Linked DNA regions of Kluyveromyces lactis. The protein of the gene in region 1 purifies or fractionates together with the protein of each later gene. This does not show direct contact. Links are inferred from orthologs where the notes say so. Each region holds a gene or a part of one and is shown in the gene's direction. Other genes may lie near its edges.

Evidence for each region.
Region 2: the proteins of PSH1 (region 1) and POB3 purify together in Saccharomyces cerevisiae (affinity purification with mass spectrometry; 4 studies listed by BioGRID, with this or other methods). This does not show direct contact. The link is inferred for Kluyveromyces lactis from reciprocal best matches to the Saccharomyces cerevisiae genes PSH1 and POB3.

Annotation. Positions count from the first base shown.
Region 1 is NC_006038.1:766,062-769,470, forward strand, and holds PSH1 (ubiquitin-protein ligase PSH1), read left to right. Parts: upstream 1-1,746; coding exon 1,747-2,838; downstream 2,839-3,409. Other genes in the region: PET111 (Pet111p), read left to right, coding at 1-1,276; COX7 (cytochrome c oxidase subunit VII), read left to right, coding at 3,191-3,379.
Region 2 is NC_006038.1:444,764-448,589, forward strand, and holds POB3 (FACT complex subunit POB3), read left to right. Parts: upstream 1-1,368; coding exon 1,369-3,036; downstream 3,037-3,826. Other genes in the region: DAK1 (dihydroxyacetone kinase), read left to right, coding at 1-926. UniProt on the Saccharomyces cerevisiae protein: Component of the FACT complex, a general chromatin factor that acts to reorganize nucleosomes. The FACT complex is involved in multiple processes that require DNA as a template such as mRNA elongation, DNA replication and DNA repair.

The DNA of each region.
Region 1 (3,409 bases):
CCTGCAATTGTTAAATCAGTTTGTGGAGCAGAATAACTATGACATGCTTCAGCAGACGATTACTCTCATTAAAAATGATCCTGAAGTTGATCTCAGACAATTCCATCATTCCTGTATATTGAAATATTACGTCAAAAAGGGTCTTTTAATGGATTTTATGGATCATATAAAACTAATACAAGAGTCGGAGTCCAATAATTTGATATTAGATCCTTATTTGTTCTTCCAAATATGGGAATGTGCTTTCCAAGCGTACCCTATCCTTCGCACGGAGTTAGAACTCGAAATGAAATCATTATTTGATAACAGGTGGTATAAAAGGACGTACCCATGGTTATCTCGTTCCATGGAGCTGCAATCATATGAGAAAACTTCGGACGTCACAGGAGATGACACTTTTTCCAGAAGAAATGAACAACGGGTCGACACTAAACTTTTGAAAAGGGTAGAGAAGATCTTAGAAAACGGTCGTTACCGCCGTGCGAGAACGATAATAATGGATCAAGCCAGGTTAGGGATAAGGCCTAATTTTCAGTTCTTCTACACCTTGAAAAAGTTCTGTGTGAACAAAGGCCACTTACCGATGTGTAACATTTTGGATACGACGCTCAAGAGCTCGTATAGGACCATTCCTTTGAAGGTCAAAATTCTAAACTTACGTGCAAACTTGTACAAATTAGCATATCAACTACGGAAAGCACAACAACCTAATGAAATCATGAGATCTCAGAGTTTAAAAATGATCGAACGATTTGTGAAGGAGCATCAACGCGAATTGAATTTCCAGAACTATATCCAATTGGCCATGTTAGCGTCTCGATACAAAGGCAGATACCTATGTGACAAATTATTTGCAAAGAGCATTGTGACCAGGGACCCAACGGACAGTAGGGCTACTTATATCATATACAGGTCATTGCTTGCATTTTTCGTGAGGTTAAAGGAGCCAAAGAAATTTTTATCAACTTTAAAGAAGTTGAATAACGAATCCCATGTTATCGTCACTAAATATTTGTTGAGTACTGTGAAATACAACATCGCTTACTTTGATAAATTTAATTGTGAGGATACCAACGCAATGATAGTGGAGTATGAGAAACTACGAAAAAGATATGCCTTTACCAAGCTTGAAGGGCTAGATGCCATCAAAGAGTTAATGACGTATCTAAGAAAATGGTTAGATCATGAAGTATACAAGCATCAGACTTCAACTTATCAAAAACAGTTGGAACTGGAAAAGCAGTATAGAAAGGCACCCAAAGAGGTTGTGAAATAGGACACTGGCACAACACAAGCTCAAATAAAGAGCTGTTAAATATATTTCTCTGCGTCCTCGTCTTACCATTGTCATCTCTCCACTTGTAAATAGAATATCGGAGAGAATGAAAACTAGGCCTGACGTATATACCTTAGCATCAACATCATCAACAACAAAATTTAATTCAGCATTTCAATATATGTAAAGATATATGTATATTTATTCGAGAATAATATCCCAATTATAAGAACTCTTACTTAGCCGTACGCTATATCTTCGTCTCTTGTGCATTACATTGTTGCCATTATTTCGTTCAGTTTCTTAAAAAGAAAAGCCCTTAAGACCAAAAACAGGAAAAAACCTTTAAAAAGCTGCGATTGCGAAACAATACATCGCGAGATGATTAGGGATACATTATTCAATTGGATGGCAGGCGAACCCGCTTTATATTAAGAAACGATAACTTCGATCTTCACCTCATTATCAAGATGAACGGACATTTACATACGGTTATACCGAAAAAATCCAATGCGGATCATTTACGAATCGTGGGCAGAGTGCTTGATTCCACAGTATGCACGATATGCCACGATTATATGTTTGTACCAGTCATGACGAGCTGTGGACACAACTATTGTTACGAATGTTTGAATAACTGGTTGAACAACAATCGATCCAACGTATCAGAATTAACGTGTCCGCAATGTCGAAATGTGATTACCAATGAACCATCGTTGAACGTTGCCTTACAACAAATAGTCGATCTGATGCTAGATATAGCAGCGGAGGACCCACAGAAATCGAATTCCTCCGAAGTACGATCACTGCTCACACAAAGAGAATGCTCCGTTGCTGAATACAAGTCTGACCTGTTGGAAGAAACGCTATTCAACAGTGTGTTTAAGAATACTGCCAAAGCCATCATAGACGATGATGACGATGGGATAGCAAGGTGTAGCAATTGCCAATGGGAAGTTGAGGGTCCCGTGTGTCCTAACTGCAATGCTACGATACGGAATTATAATGCGGGTGCACAGAACTTCGACGAAGTTGATGTGGATGAGTACTCTGACGGAGAACTGGAAGAGGTTGAGAGAGATTTGGACAATTATAGAGCCGAGAGTGCACGTACTGTGCACGATTTGGAAGCCGAAGAGGGAGATGAGAGTCTCAGTTCAGAGATGGACCAGGCATGGCCCACAAGACGGCCTAGGAACTTTATGCATGGAGAAGAAGAAGAGGAGGAAGAGGAAGATAGAGGATCGATAGATTCGTTCATAGTGGATGAGGAAGAAGAAGAAGAAGAAGAGGAAGAGGAACAAGAATTGAAAGATGAACGGAAGTTCCGTAGAGCATCTGTTGCCCTCTCAGATGACGATGACAACGAATCTCGCGACAGTGATTTCTACGAACATAATGACGATGGATACGCGAGTGGTGACTCCCTTGACGAAAGTACTAGTAACGACGAACTAGAACCGCACACCATCCGTCTCACTCATAGTCAAGACAACAACAACAACAACAACAACAACTCCGCGCGTAAGAAACGTCTCATAGTCCTAGACTCTGATGAGTAACAATAACAGCGTATATACACCTTGTACAACCTTCTAACGATACTAAAAGTCACGTGTAAACCACCATCACGTGCAACAACCCCGCAGTTACCCTGAATGTCCCCGTATCTTTTCCCAGCCTATGGAGTTTTCGCTGTTTAGAGGGAAGTTGAATTTTCACACCACTCGAAAGCCAGTAGGGGAATATCAGATACTGAGATTAAAAAAAATTTTGGAAGAAATAAACTGTTATGATAGTTAGTTTACACTTGGTGAATACAGTTTTCGATTTGATTCATAGTATTTGTATATTTTGTTTGTTGTTCATCGATTGCCAATACATTTGTTTAATCATAGCCCCAAACATTGAACGATGCCTTCTCCAAGCAAAATTATTGAACTACAAAAGCTGTTCCAACACTCTTCTAAGCCATTGTGGTCTAGACATCCAAGATCGGCTTTCTACTTGTACCCATTCTGGGGTTTGTTTACTGTGGCCCTTGTTGCTCCATTGCTATACATTCCAAATGCTATCATGGGTATTAAGGCTAAGAAGAACTAAGAACTGTTACGTTGTGTATGAATGAATGAA
Region 2 (3,826 bases), about 320 kb from region 1:
CTAACTTCATCTTAACTGCCATCGTTGATATCACGAAATCTTTTTTACAAAAGAATTATGACATTACTCCAGTTCAAAGTATTTGCGGAACTTTAATGACATCTTTCAATGGAAATGGATTCAGTATCACGTTGTTCAATGCGTCAAAGTCATCTGGAGCTATCAAGAAGGAGTTCAGCGAAGTAAAATCTGTGCTTGACTTATTAAACGACCATACAGAGGCGCCAGCATGGCCAATAAAAGATGTCGAAATGGGTAAATCTCCTACATATGACGAGGGTATTCTCGAGGATGTTATTGACGTTAAAAAGGCTGGAACATACGACTTCGAGAAATTATCGGAGCTGTTGAAGGCAGGTGCCGATCAATTGATTAAAAGTGAACCTCATATTACACATTTGGATAACCAAGTTGGTGACGGTGACTGTGGTTATACGTTAGTAGCTGGCGCTAAGGCAATCACTGAAAACTTGGATAAAATATCCTCCAAGTATTTGTCTCAGACCCTTGCAGAAATTTCTGATCATATTGAATCCGCAATGGGTGGTACATCCGGTGGTTTGTACTCTATATTCATTTCGGGCCTTTCAAAAGGAATTATTGAACAATGCGGAGAAAATGATGCGGTGGACAAAGAAGCCTTCGCCAAATCGCTAGAAGTTGCATACGAGACATTGTGTAAATATACTAGAGCTAGGCCAGGTGATTCTACTATGATCGATGCCTTGGAGCCATTCGTGAAAGAGTTTAGTTCAACTCAGGACTTCCATAAGGCCTTTTCCAAGGCGGAAGGAGGTGCAGAATCTACAGGAAACTTAGAAGCCAAGTTCGGCCGTGCATCTTACGTGGAAGACACTGAAGCAATTCCGGACCCAGGAGCTATCGGTTTGGTCGAATTCCTCAGGGGTGTTGATTCCAAATTGTAGATTCATTTTCAAATGAGCTGCCTCCTTTATTCTTTCCACCTAGTTATTATTTTATAACAAACTATATACAGCTTCCTACATTAACCAAATTTATGACCTAGCGGTAATTGCAGTATCATACATTGTTCCTCCGGCAACAGGGGGGTGGGCCTCGACCTGATAGTTCTTCGTGTGTAAAAACTGTCTCTTTTCCGTTCACTCCCCCATCTTACCTCTTGTCAACGTGACGCGAATTGGAAACTTTACTAGAAATGAAAATGAAAAATCGCCAAAGTGTTTAAGATGTTGTTAAAACATGAACAAATAAGAAGACATATGAAACCGTTAACGGTAGGCAGAGTTGTTAGCCCATAGTTTACGTTAGACAGGTCAGTATTACTGAAATCTAGTGATCTTCGTCTTGGATACCTACTTTTTATTTCTTATATTGGGATAGTGGAGAATGAGTACAGATTTCGATAGAATTTATTACAACCAATCCAAGCTCGGTGGACGTTTCCGTCTAGCTGAAGGAGGTCTTGGTTGGAAGGCATCCGCTACAGGTGGGTCAGCCTCTACTCAAAATAATGAACCTTTGCTATTGGCTGCAGATGAGGTTTCTTCCGTTCAATGGAGTAGAGGATGTAGAGGCTACGAATTGAAAATTAGTACTAAGAATAAGGGATTGATTCAAATGGATGGGTTCCAACAAGAGGATTTCAACCTATTGAAGAATGACTTCCAACGTAGATTCAACATGCAATTAGAGCACAGGGAACATTCTTTACGTGGTTGGAATTGGGGTAAATTGGACTTAGCTAGAAACGAAATGGTTTTTTCATTGAACGGTAAGCCAACTTTTGAAATCCCTTACACGCACATCAATAACACTAATTTAACAGCAAAAAATGAGATTGCATTAGAATTTGACACCCAAAATGAGGCATATAATCCTGCAGGTGATGAACTTGTTGAAATGAGGTTATATGTTCCAGGCACAGTTGAAGAAAATGAAGATCAAGATCAAATCATGGTAAAGGACGAAGCAGAAGCAGAAGACGGTGTTAAGTCGGAGGTTAAGACGGAAGAGGGTAGTGAAGAACCAGACGTTCAAGAAGAGAAGACTTTAGCAGAATATTTCTACGAAGAATTGAGATCTAAGGCAGATATCGGTGAAATTTCTGGTGATGCCATCATTTCTTTCCAGGATCTGTTCTTCACTACGCCAAGAGGCCGTTACGACATTGATATCTACAAAAACTCTATCAGACTTAGAGGTAAGACTTATGAGTACAAGTTACAACATCGTCAAATAAACAGAATCTTCTCTTTGCCAAAAGCTGACGACATCCATTACTTGATGGTTTTATCGATTGATCCACCAATCCGTCAAGGTCAGACATCCTACCCATTCTTGGTGTTACAATTCCAGAAGGACGAGGAAACAGAAGTCCAACTAAATGTGGAAGATGATGAGTTCGAAAAGCTTTACAAGGATAAACTAAAGAAACAATACGATGCTAAAACTCACATTGTACTAAGTCATGTCTTAAAGGGTTTGACAGGAAGAAGAGTCATTGTTCCTGGTGAATACAAGTCTAAGTATGACCAATGCGCGGTATCCTGTTCATACAAAGTCAATGAAGGCCACTTATACCCATTGGACAATGCGTTTTTGTTCTTGACGAAACCAACCCTATATATACCCTTCCAAGATATTGCTGCGGTCAATATTTCAAGAGCTGGTCAGACATCTACATCAGCCAGAACATTCGATTTGGAAGTTGTTATGCGTGCCAATAGAGGTACTACTACTTTTGCTAATATTTCTAAAGAGGAACAACAACTTCTAGAGACATTCTTGAGGTCCAAAAACTTGAGGGTAAAGAACGAAGATAAGGAAGCAGAACAGAGACTGCAGACTGCCTTCGGCTCAGACAGCGATGATGATGATGTAGATATTAACATGGGTTCTGCAGGTGAGGATGAAGAATCTGTAGATGAAGATTTCCATGCGTCCGACGAAGATGACGATGTCGCTGAAGAATTTGATTCAGAAGCATCCGCCTCCGATTCAGAAGGTGAAACCTCAAAGTCTGAAAGACCTTCCAAGAAAGCCAAGTTGGAATGAAAAACTCATATATCATGTATTAGTACAAATAAATAAATAAAAAACTATATACACTCCTCGCGGTATTTGTCGAATAATGTGTCTTTCTTTTGTTTGATTGACTAGTTCTTTAATTTTTAGTACATCTAAATGGCTTGACAAAAGAATAAGGGTCCCATCCAGAGAACTAAACTTCAAAGGGTTGAGAGAAGGATAATTTTGCTAAGCCCGTAAAAGTATCGACTGCTTTTTTCATGCTTCAATCATTTAATGGTTCTGTAAGAGTTATTCTATGACTTCTGGTGAAAGATCCTTAAATCAAGAACTAGAATGATGAAATGAATGCACAAAGAAATTTTGATCCAAGATAACTCGCTTCATACATTCGAGGTATATTAGATATTAGTATGATAGCTACAGACGGTACCTTAACTATAGAATATATCATAGAGATTCCTGGAGTTGACGAATTGTCCGGGAATAGTTTCTTTTTCACTATAAGAAAAGATTCATAGCTAAACGACAATGAAGGGTCGGAATTGACTTTGAACTCAGCATGAATGACTCAGGATGACATGACAAATATAGATAAATACATGGCAAGCGAGTTTGGTAAAACGTGTGTTGAAGACAAAATTCCATTGGTTTAAATTATTCCTGATAGTTGTCACATGCTGCTCTTTCGACTTTGACCAGCGAAGAAAACATCTATACCAGTCATGATGCTAACCAGTGAGATACTTCTCTGAACATCAAAGGTGAGCAGGGATCTCGTTGTATGAAATGACCGAACTTCAACTGTTGCATTTGT